Linked DNA regions of Sus scrofa. Each later gene encodes a partner of the first gene's protein in a complex. Links are inferred from orthologs where the notes say so. Each region holds a gene or a part of one and is shown on either strand. Other genes may lie near its edges.

Region 1 (3,881 bases):
GTCACCTATAATAACTGTGGCAGGGAGTCCTTTAGGCACGAGGCAGTGAGGGCACCTGCTTGGAGCCCCTGGCTCGTGGGCACCCGTGTGGGCGACGTGTCCAGGCCTCTAGGTCCACGGGCCGCCAGCCCTTTAACCCGCTCCGAAGGCCTCCTTCCGGTTAACCCTGGGCTCACGGAGCATCTTCTCCGTGCCGGGTGCGCTGGGCCCCCGGGGAGGTGGAAAATCCCGAGACGCTGCCTCCGTCACCGAAGAGCGACGGTCGGTCGATCCGTTTCCACACTTGTCCCCATCAATGACAGAGACACCTGCAACCCACAGCCGAAGCAGCGGGCGGGACGCAGGCGAGGAATGGTAGTCAGTGACTCGAAAAACTCCCCAGACACGGGTCAGCTTGACAGTCGAGCACTGAAAAAAGCTATATTCCAGGGCAGGGGTCGGGGGAGAAGGGACATTAACTGCCTGCTCTTCCGGGCAGTCATGGGAATGATACGTTTGAATAAACTGGCTGGGCAACCTTGTACTAAGGGAAAATACTTTAACTACAGAAATGTATTCAAAAGAACAAGCCTCATTTTTATGCAACCAGTTGTCGGTTTGTTAAAGAAATTTATCCACATATAATCCTAAGGATTTAAAGAGCTGGAGTGACAGCTGCAGTTTTCAGACTGGGACCGACCTGGGAGTTGAAACAAGCCGGCACCTCACACTCAGGGGGCGCGTGTGGGCCCTGGCCCTGGCCTCCTGTGCCCGCGTTTGTGGAAGGGTGTGTGTGGGAGGGCAGGTGGCCCAGGCAGGGTCCGGGGCAGGAGACCAGGGGATGGCGAGGGCGAAGGGCCAGCAGCCTGGAGCGGATGCCTGCGTGCGGCCCCGCGGAGGCGCAGGGTCCAGGCCTCCGTCCGGCACCCATGGGTGCACCTGGGAAGCTCAGCCATGCCAGGGCAACACAGGGCTTTCTATTTCTGTAAAGCCGCTGAAAACAGAGCTGCTCACAGCACGACTGCGCTCGATGCGTCCCCTGGACAGGCACAGGAGAGCACTGTCACCTGTCTGCTACAAAAGGGCTTTTCCCCCTGGGGTCCCAAGAGGCGCTTGAGAAAGGGGCGTCTAACTCCTTAAAAACCAAAGATAAGGCTGTGTGTGCGCTTCCCCTTCCAGGTGAAGTTCCACAGCTCGAGGAGTCAGGGTCTAAAATGATTAAAACACGCAGACTCCCAGGCTGGCAGGCCAGGCTCTCAGACACTGCAGAGGAGCAGCGCTGGGAACCGGCGGACACGGGACCCACAGCCTTTTCACGGCAGTGCAAACCGTCGGCTGGTTTTTAGGTTGTATGGCAGGTGTGCTTTTTAAAATCAAAATGACGCCACCAAGAGCACTTCTGAAGCTGTGTGACACCGTTTGTAAGCCACCATTTAAAGCCTATCACCCATTTTAAAAAGCCAGTAAATGGCTGCTGTAGAAGATTATCAGCGTGGAATTTGGGGGAAAGGGAGGGACAGAGATACAGTAACATAAAAACCTCCAAGCCTGCAGAGCGCCGTATTTTACCAAACCATCTAAGTAAGTAACCTTCAGCTTAAAAACAGAAGCGGTCGTTTACTCAGCAAGTGTTTGAGAGATTGCTGTGTTCAAGGCACTACGCTAGATGCTGAAATGATAAAACAATTCAAATCTTTTTCTTCTTCCTTTTTGGGATATCATACATAAGGTTAAATTGCAGTTATCCACTAAGAGGCAGTTTTAGATGACTATTTTGTTTGGAAAAAATTATTCTGAAACAGTGGAGGAAAGGCCTGATCGCTGGCATTCCGAGAAAAGTCTAAAGGTGACTGACGGTTTACAGACTTACTATCTGAAAGAGTCCAGAAAATTACTGCTCCTGTGGAGCTCTATTCAGAGAGAAGTAAGTGTATAACAATTCTTAGAGGCGTACTGACACGAGGTTAAAATTTGAGTACCTGTCCTTGATGACAAGGTTTTATCCTGCTACGTGAGCCACAGAGAAGCATCGTGAGGCTCTACATTAAGTAAAAGGTATTTACAGCAAAGTGGCCGGCCAAGCAGGTCACAGGGACTCAGAACTGGTGAGAGGGTTTAGCTGGAAGGAAGTGGTTCAAACCCCTTGGCTGGCAGAAACAGAGGCCCCCGGACTCGTTAAGGGACCTTGTCTGAGCCGCACAAGCAGGTGGCGACGCCACCAGAAGGGCCTCCTCCCCAGCCCCTGCTTGGCCGCCCTGCGGAGCGGGAGCGGACGCCACACTTACTGGAGCATGATCTCCAACCTCTTGCTGTAAACGTGCATCTCTAACTTTTTGGAAACCTTCTGGACTGCACCTGGAAAGAAAAAGCAACAGGGCGTTCAATCTCCAAAGCCCTATTTAGAATACTTTCCAAATCAATAATCGGAACACAGCTGCTGAGAAACCAAAGTGGTTTATTCAACGTTTCGTCAAACACGGAGACAGCAGCAGCCCGCTCTCCTGGTGGCCGTGCTGGTTCGATTCAGCAGCATTTTGGAATTTCTGATTAAACTCTTTTTAAGACACCGTTACCAACAGATTTTGTGTTTGCGTTCACGGCAACCGTATTTTTACAGCGTGAATGAAGACTCAGGACAAAAAGTAAATAAAATATGAGCAATGTGCATTGTTATGCATATATTATATTTTAGAAGTTAAAGGAATGAAAAAATCAGGTTTTGAGTTCTTTAGGACTCTGTTTTCTGCTTCTTACTTCAGAGGACCATGGGAGAAATGAAAGAATTAATGGATAAAAAATAAAGTAATTTTGTACCTTTCCTTATTTTCGGGTTTGACTGAACTTCTAATATCACGGTTGTTACCGTATCTGCATACATATCATTGGAAGGGTTTGCCAACCACTGTAAAGCAAGAGGCAGAATTAGGGAATTTAAAACTCCAACAGTGGGAACCGTATTTACCTAAATTAATGATTTCCAGCCCTTGCAGGTTTGGGTTATTTTAATTAATTAATTTATTTAGCTTTTTAGGACCATACCTGCGGCATAGGGAGGTTCCCAGGCTAGGGGTCCATCAGAGCTGCAGCTTCTGGCCTACACCAGCCACTGCAACGCCAGATCCGAGCCGTGTCTGCGACCTACACCACAGCTCACGGCAACACTGGATCCTTAACCCACTGAGCGAGGCCAGGGATCCAACCCGCAACCTCATGGGTTCTAGTCAGATTCGTTAACCACTGAGCCATGACGGGAACAGCAGATTTGGGTTATTTTAATGCTGCTTATTTGAATCATCACATTCCGTGCTCTTAAGAAGTATCCCATGACGAGTTTGCTTGCTTCGAGGGAAGAGAATTATATATATATATTTTTTTTTGTCTTTTTGCTATTTCTTGGGCTGCTCTCGCGGCATATGGAGGTTCCCAGGCTAGGGGTCGAATCGGAGCTGTAGCCACCAGCCTACGCCAGAGCTACAGCAACGCGGGATCCGAGCCTCGTCTGCGACCTACACCACAGCTCACGGCAACGCTGGATCATTAACCCACTGAGCAAGGGCAGGGATCGAACCCACAACCTCATGGTTCCTAGTCGGATACGTTAACCACTGCGCCATGACGGGAACTCCGAGAATTATATTTTTATCTTGAGGAGATTTAGACGTTTTGATAATCAAACTAAAGACATCCTGGTGTTACCTACCACAAAATCAGTTAGGACTTACTCACAGGCGACACCTCTCAGAGCATTACACATACTAAATACTACGCCTTATTATTAGTTTCTATGTTACTGCACCTACACAGAAAACGCCTGGCTACGTTATGTTTAAAGCCAACCTTGAAAAGAAGAATACACACACATATATTTTCCGACAATTTTCTTCCTGACTGGGATGACACCA
Region 2 (3,881 bases), on another chromosome or scaffold:
AAAACTGCACGTTTTGTTTTTACTCCTAAGCACAAGTGGTCTATACCATATGAAGGCTGCTGGCCCCAAGAAACACATGAACATAGAAAGAATGGCTTGTTTCAACTTCCATATAATTTCTGAAGTAATATGTATAAAAACCAACCACTGCTTGGGCAACCTTGGGAGAGAGCATGCCTAAGAGATGAAAACATTTACACCTTTTCATTATACTATTACCTTATTAAAAAATATGAAGTTCAACATTTATTTCCCTAAAAGCAAAACACTAAACCGTCTCCAACACAGCATCCCAGCTGATGGTTAAGATGTGTCTAAAATGCATGCAGAACCCTTAAGACTAGAACACATCAAGGAGGTTTTTTTTTGAATGACGTATATTCAAATGTTATAACTTTTGAACTTTTATAACTTTTATAACTTTGTGGTGTTATAACTTAAGCTCAACAACAACAAGATCTTAATGGAACAAGAAATGGGAGAAATAAAAACTGATTTCTGAACCAGATGTGTACTATCTCACAGCAGAGTAAAACCACCGTGAAACGCAGTCATGAAGAGCGAAGCTGAATGTGAAGAAAACTGCATAGAGGAATTCCAAAGAACTAGAGCACGTATACTGGGTTTTTTTGTTTTTGAAAGAGATAAGCCTCAAAAAGCTGTTTTATCAGGTTTTTTACAGCACATCCTTTCTAAGTAAAGTCTCACTTTTCATTCCAGAATATGGAAGAAACCGTTTACAAGAATTCATGCAAACATGTTTCTTGAAGGCCATGAACTGGTTTGCTAAGTTGCACTGTTTTATTCAAGTAAAAAGCCCTTCTAGAATAAGGGGTGTGAAAAGGAAGCCAGTCACCTTCAGCCAGGGCTGCACACTTGTAAGGATCTCTATCACGCCGAAAGCCAAAAGGTCGCATGCTCACTGGAGCATTAGCAATGATATGGTTTCCACTTACACTTTTAAAAATCTAATGCATGTTAAGTTTTTCTGGCAGATTCTTTTTGTATGTTACAAAACAAAAAAGCAAAAGCTTAGAGTAAGAGTTCTTTTTTCTTAGATCCTTTTTTCTTAGAAAGGTCAAACAGATACTTCTTGACATCATGTCCTTTACACAATGGCATACTGTTCATATAAAAGGTCTCTTATCCTATAAAAATCTTGACAAAGGCAGCCTTCTAATCCAATGCGTCCAGTTTCCGTCTAGAAACAAAGTAAAAAAAAAAAAATTTAAATAAGTTCTTTAGTACATTTTCTATTCATGAATAATAACCAAAATATAAACTAGATTACTTTATGACTGGTCAGGAAAAGGGCTGCTCTGATTCACAGAATATGGATATAATATTCAAGTCATGCATTTTACATCGACACAGAAATGTCAGAGGATTCAAATAAACCTCTACAATAAAATTACACAGCATGTCTCTGAGAATCACTTTTAAAAGCTTTCAAGGTCATCATTAGGAACGTAAATCATGGATCACCAGCTTGTAAAATTAATTGAGAACTACGGAATTCCAAATAACACAACAGAAAACCGTGTTCAAGTCAGCTCTTATTAAAAACACACTTACTCTACGGACTGCCACTTGATTGTTGCAAACGAGGACACCGCCTACAAATTCAGCTTGGATCCCCTCTCGTAAAAGAACTTGTTTGAAGTCAGAGAGTCTTGGTTCGTTCATAAAAACTGACTGATGTCCAGGAACCTTAGATAAGGTTAAAGGGGAAAGAATTAACTTCAAATAAAACAGCAGGCATATCGTTGTACTGAATAAAGTGAAATAACACACGATCTCTAAGATATTTTCTGCTGCCTGCTGAAGTCCTTTGACAGATCATTTCAAGATTGTAAATCACATTCCAAGTTGTTATTCTGAATTTCACCTCATTGTTTAACATTACAAAGCCCTTCACAGTTCCCAACGTTTCACAATCAGTGTTATTAGTCACGCCTCCTAATAACAGGCAGACGTTGGATAATGTTACGCTCTCCCCCCACCCACCTGCCGAAGGGGGTCAGCTACAGTGCCAGCAGGCAGAACTGAACCAAGAGTGTGCTTTCCTGGTCCAAGTCCTTTGTCTACAGGTCAGAGGAGAACGCTCCCCCGATCCACTTCCATTTCCCTTCCCGCCTCACAGTGAATACGACGGATGCCATGGGTTTTAGACAGAAAGACAAGTGCTTCGACCTAATGCTGCCACTTTGAAGCTGCTTTGAAGAGGGCCAGCTTTAGCCCAGAGAGTTTCTAACTCCTCCCTCCAACTTCAAGAGTGACACTAGAAGGGATGGGATGACAGAGGCCATCTCTTCTTTGTTGCACAGAAGGACTAAAGACATCACTTGACAGCCATGTAAGACTCTCATAATATAGTTAATATTATTGTAAGTTAATTACCTGAAAGCTCTTCTAGTTAACTTGATATCTCTTGAGAACATGTAAATAACACACGAGACTAGAATTACACCCATACCAAAAATAAAAGGTTTCTGACACTATCAAAACCACAACTGATTCAAACTGACAACATACTAAAATGGAATGTCAGAGTGTGAGATTCCTAGAATATTATAAATCTCCTGATTAGAAGCAGATGGGTGAGGAGTTCCCCTCGTGTCTCAGTGGTTAATGAACCCAACTAGTATCCACGAGGAAGCAGGTTCGATCCCTGGTCTCGCTCAGTGGGTTGAGGATCTGGCGTTGCTGTGAGCTGCGGTGTAGGTTGCAGACGTGGCTAGGATCCTATGTTGCTGTGGCTGTGGTGTAGGCCAGCACCTATAGCTCGGACTGGACCCCTAGCCTGGGAACTTCCCTATGACACAGGTGCGGCCCTAAAAAAAGACAAAAAAAAAAAAAAAAAAAAAAAAAAGCAGCAGGTGGGTGACCCTCACAATCATCAAACTTAACATTCACAACTTAGAGTTCCCGTCGTGGCTCAGAGGTTAACGAATCCGACCAGGAACATGAGGTGGCAGGTTCGAACCCTGGCCTTGCTCAGTGGGTTAAGGATCTGGTGTTTCTGGTGTTGTCGTGAGCTGTAGTGTAGGTTGCAGACGCAGCTCGAATCCCCCGTTGCTGTGGCTCTGGCGTAGGCTGGCGGCTATAGCTCTGATTCGACCCCTAGCCTGGGAACCTCCATATGCCGTGGGAGCGGCCCGAGAAATGGCAAAAAGGCACCAAAAAAAAAAAAAAAAAATTCACAATTCCACACTGCAAAAACAAATCATGACACAATTATGCATTTTATCAGACTTGCTCAAGGTTACCTTACTGTTGTTATCATTCCCTAGCCGTAGAGGACACATACGCACACAGAAACATGTCTCGTTTTTAAAATTCCAAAATGAGTCTATATGTGACACATTTCAAGTGGTTAAAAACATAAAGGGAAAATTAAGGGAGGGAGGGAAGTGGCAGGTGCTTTTTACCTCATGAGGTGGTAAGGGTTCCAGTGTAGGAATGATCTCACTTTCTTCACCTGTTTCTTTCTCATCATCTCCGAACAGACTCTTCATGGCCTTCTGCTGGGCTATGACGCTGGAGTCTGAAGGAGCGTCCACCTGCATTTCTGCGTCTTCGCCGTCATCCTTTAGCTCTCCTTCTTCTAAAATAACTCCTGTGTCTACTTTGGAAACTCTCATGTCTAAGACACCGTCTATCCAAGCTAATTCAGCATCTTTTGCCTTACAAAACTGAAGGGAGCTGACAAGTGAATCTTTCAATCTCACCTAAACATGATACAAAGGGGAAAGAGAGAAAGCAAGCCCACAGAGGATAATTCGACAACTATATATGACTTAGTATCATTTTCTACCTCTAGAATTATGTAGTAAAATTTGAAAATCTTTCACTGCACTGCTCTTCACCATAACCGGCAA
Region 3 (3,881 bases), about 120 Mb from region 1:
TCAGGTCAGGATGAACGCTTGGTTCAGCCAGGTGTTTAGCAGCCTACACGGCGAGCAACAGTCACGGAAAAACAGTTGGAGGCTGACACGCTGACCTGCGGTCTAGGGGCTGAGAGGGCCCTCCGCTAGGGAGTCGTGTGAGCAGGGGGTCAGGGCTCCTGGGGTGGGGCTGCTGGGCAGCAAGGCTACCTCCCAACCGAGTGGCTTCCTGGCTCTGGCCCCGAAAGTACAGGAGCCCTGGGCTACAAAGCCCAGGCTGTCACGGCCGCCCCCACAGGCAGGAGTGCCGGCTCTGCCGGAGAACAGTTGTTGGGTTCACCCCACACCCCCCAAGGGTGGGCTCAGGGCGGCCACATTCCCGGCGGCTCGGCCTCTAGCGTGAGCGGGGCCAGGCCGGGCTTCGGCAACAGGCGGAGTCCAGCCAGGTAAGAGTGAGGCCTCAGGATCGGTGGGCTGTTGACGCAACCTGCTGAGACCCCGCCTAGGACACCTGGCCCGCCTCGGTCTGGGCCCCCACCCACCCATCCCGTAACCAAACTCACGGTGCCCTTGGTCTGGGGGCACTGCTGCAGATTCTCTGTCTACGGCACTTCCCTCCCTCATGCTTGGGGGGACCAGCCCACTGCTGGGTCGTGGGACCCTCGCTTGGGAGACTGGAGCCAAATGGTCCCTCGCCCCGTTCCCAGCATCCTCCTTGCAGTTGGGAGGCTCCACGCGGAGCAGTTAACCGCTCAACCTCGGCCTCAGGCCCGCTCCGGGTCTGCTCCCACCCAGCAGGGCCCCTCAGGTGAGTCCCACTGGCAGAGGGAAGGGTTGGAACCGGAGGCCCCACGCCGCCCTGCACTCCACTCCCGGGCGCTGGCAGGCGGGAAGGGAGACGCACGTGGGACCTGGCTCAGGCAGACGGCCCTCTACCCCCAGAGGAGGGTGCCAGCTGCTCTGCTGCCTGGATTTTCTGCTGGGTCTAGGGGGACCCCTGCCCCGCACACGGTCTCCAGCCAGGTCCAGAGCAGCCCCGCACTGAGGCGGGCACTGAGTTTTCTGCTGCAAGGGCACTGCCAGGGCCGGCAGCACCACGGGGCGAGGGCACGGTACCTTTGCCGGAGGCTGCGTCTGCTGCGGCAGTGGGGGCTGCTCCGTGGTTCCCATTGGCAGTTCAAATCGAGGGCTGGTCACCCGGCAGCAGGAGGGGACGGGAACGAGAGACGGAGGAGAGGATGAGAGAGGAGGTCGGCCAGGTGGGGGTCTCAAGCTCTGGCCTCGGGAAGACCACAGCCAGTCTCGAGCCAAGCACAGGGCCACCCAAAGCACCTGGGCACGGGGTGGGTGCTGGCGCTCAGTTCCACCCAAGGCCTCGGGATGGTGGGGAAGACAGATTTGCTGTGCCTGGCCTTGGACCCAGCTCTGTCTACACTAGGTGTGAGCCCAGCAAGCGCTGCTCAGAGAAGGGAAAGAAATAGCTGGCGTACACGAAGGCCCTCCCGACACACACCCTGCCTTTCCCGCAGGGCAACTGAGTGTCAGAACTGATAGCAGGCTCCCCGGCCACCTACCCAGGGAGAGGAGCCCTGTCAGCAGCACCCGCCACCTGCCCACCATGTGGCAGCGGCCAGGATATGCTGCTTCCGTGCCGGTGTCAGCAGCAAGGACAGATGCGGTGCTGCCCCATGACCACCCAAAGTGACAGCCGGGCACAGAGGCCCAGGAGACGAGCAATGCGCCCTCCTGAGCAAGGAGGACCGGGCTTTAGAGGCCACACAGCTGCCTTTGACCAGGTGGTACCACCTGTGCCACATGACCCTGGCCTCAGGTGTGAGATGGGGACCCTCTTGCACACATGAGGGTTCTAGGAACCAGTGTACACGGAACACCAAGCTCAGCGTCTCCAGAGGGAGGCCCTGAAACCGAAATCCTCTCCCTGAGGGCACAGGCTCTTCACCTGAGGCCCCCAAGTGATGAGCAAGATTACACGTGCACAAGGGTTTTGGGAGCCTGGGGCCCACAGCTTCCACCTGAGTCCTGGATGACCTATGACCCCACAAAGGCTAGAGGCTGGTTCAGGCAGAGCCACCTCTGGACTCAGGAGGCAGCAGGGGTCTCTCCCCACCTCCCACCCCTGCCCAGACCCTGTGCTGACACCATCCAGTGACCACAGCCCAGACGGCCCAGGAAAGACACAGGGCAGCAGGGCCCAGCTACTCACTGCATGAATTTGCACGAGGGCCCCTCCGGGCAGAATCCCACGAGGTAATTCACACAGATGACTCTCCGCGTGTGCCGGTGCCTGCACAGGGGGCCTGTGGAGCCAAGTGTCAGGGGCACTGGGGGGGCGCCCTTGTGCCCCTCCTCTGCCGGTCAGAGCCCTGCCACACTGCTGCCTGGGGTGCGGAGAGCGAGGCCAGGGCTGGCTCTGCCTCCTGTTGAGAAGGGACAGTGGGCAGGCACACATCCTCTCAAACACTAGTTTCTTCATCAAAAGGACAGGTGAGCACGTGGCCTGCAGGGGAGCCTAGGGAGACTCAGGTGACCTGAGGGTGCGGCAAAGCCTCACTAGCCCCTGGTGACTAACACCAGGTTCTGCAGGAAGAGGCGGGACAGGCAGAGGGTCATGTGGGCAGAGGGCGAGAGGACTGGCCTCCGACACCTACCGTGCTTGCAGAAGCCGCGGTCGTACCATGGACAGTCTTTGATCTTGGACTCGGGGTCGATGTGCAGGAAGGGGCACTCCTTGTTGCTGCACTCCCCTGCAGGGACACCGGACACGCGGCCCCTGCGACAGCTGGCCCCCACCCGCCTCCGCCCCCGCCCCCCCAAGGCTGGGCCGCCGTCCAGCAGAGGGGCCCAGGGGGGGGGCTGTGGTGTCCGGCCCCGGCCCGAGACCCAGGGCTCAGGGTCTCAAGAGCCTCAGTTTCCTGACCTGTACGTGGGCAGGGATGGCCCTCCCTCAGAGGTGACACTGACAGAGGCGGGCACAGGGTCCACACACATCAAATAACTCACGGCTCCACCTCTGGCCCAAGGAGGTGTCCTGGGCAGCGTGGGGCCCAGACAGACAGACACACCAGTGGAGACCAGCAGGAAGTTCCCGTTTCCGAGGAGAGCCCCCGCGAGCTCTCTTTGTCTATGCTGCGGCAGGGAAAGGCCTGAGGAGGCTCGTTTTTAGGACAGCCTGGGAACTCACGGCTGGGTCCCTGTGGTAGACGGTGCTGAAGCCTTTGTGACAGCTCCTCTCGGGAGCAACGGGCCCAGCTGGCCACCAGCCTCTCTTGGCCGAGTACAGGCACTGCCACCCCGGGCGGCCACACCCCTTCAAGCTTGCCCGCTCCAGTCCTTGTCCACATGAAAGGCCCTGTGGGGTCTCACCCACCCCCTCTCCAGCCTCACTGGCCTCCCAGCCGGTCCAAGAAGAGTCCTCTGCCCTGAGTGGTCCCGTCTTAGCCTTCGGATCCCAACCCAGGCCCCCTCCTCCGAGGCCCTCTGACCACGCTGTCTCGAGGGCACTTCTTTAAGTGGTCCCACAGCACGCCCTAGGTTCCCAGGCCAGGGATCAACCATGCACCACAGTGGTGAGCCAAGCCGCAGCACTGACAATGCTGGTCCTTAACCTGCTGAGCCACCAGGGAATTCCAACAATTCTCTTCTTTGTCTCACAGGGGGACTGGCCACCTCTTTCCCTGGGGCACTGGAGCAAAAGCGCCACAGGGCCATGACGGGCCTGTCCTCTTTGCTGCTGCCCCTTCAGTGCCTGGCGCAGGTGACAGGAGCTACAGACGGTGTGTCTGCACTGGGACGGGACAGGCTCTCGTCGCAGGTCTGGGAGGCAGAGGGCCCAGGCCCATCTGCAGGGAAGCTGGGAACCCAAGCCAGTGGCAGAGGCGCCC

The links. Proteins that work in one complex are often made in the same cells at the same time.
Region 2: CPSF3 (region 1) and CPSF2 share a complex: the UniProt entries of both Homo sapiens proteins name them as parts of the cleavage and polyadenylation specificity factor (CPSF) complex. The link is inferred for Sus scrofa from reciprocal best matches to the Homo sapiens genes CPSF3 and CPSF2.
Region 3: CPSF3 (region 1) and CPSF4 share a complex: the UniProt entries of both Homo sapiens proteins name them as parts of the cleavage and polyadenylation specificity factor (CPSF) complex. The link is inferred for Sus scrofa from reciprocal best matches to the Homo sapiens genes CPSF3 and CPSF4.

Annotation. Positions count from the first base shown.
Region 1 is NC_010445.4:126,872,222-126,876,102, forward strand, and holds part of CPSF3 (cleavage and polyadenylation specificity factor subunit 3), read right to left. Parts: intron 2,882-3,881; coding exon 2,794-2,881; intron 2,335-2,793; coding exon 2,265-2,334; intron 1-2,264. UniProt on the Homo sapiens protein: Component of the cleavage and polyadenylation specificity factor (CPSF) complex that plays a key role in pre-mRNA 3'-end formation, recognizing the AAUAAA signal sequence and interacting with poly(A) polymerase and other factors to bring about cleavage and poly(A) addition.
Region 2 is NC_010449.5:113,687,308-113,691,188, reverse strand, and holds the end of CPSF2 (cleavage and polyadenylation specificity factor subunit 2), read right to left. Parts: intron 3,732-3,881; coding exon 3,432-3,731; intron 1,711-3,431; coding exon 1,576-1,710; intron 1,202-1,575; coding exon 1,109-1,201; 3' UTR 665-1,108; downstream 1-664. UniProt on the Homo sapiens protein: Component of the cleavage and polyadenylation specificity factor (CPSF) complex that play a key role in pre-mRNA 3'-end formation, recognizing the AAUAAA signal sequence and interacting with poly(A) polymerase and other factors to bring about cleavage and poly(A) addition.
Region 3 is NC_010445.4:6,380,767-6,384,647, reverse strand, and holds part of CPSF4 (cleavage and polyadenylation specificity factor subunit 4), read right to left. Parts: intron 2,745-3,881; coding exon 2,649-2,744; intron 2,298-2,648; coding exon 2,204-2,297; intron 1,169-2,203; coding exon 1,096-1,168; intron 1-1,095. UniProt on the Homo sapiens protein: Component of the cleavage and polyadenylation specificity factor (CPSF) complex that play a key role in pre-mRNA 3'-end formation, recognizing the AAUAAA signal sequence and interacting with poly(A) polymerase and other factors to bring about cleavage and poly(A) addition.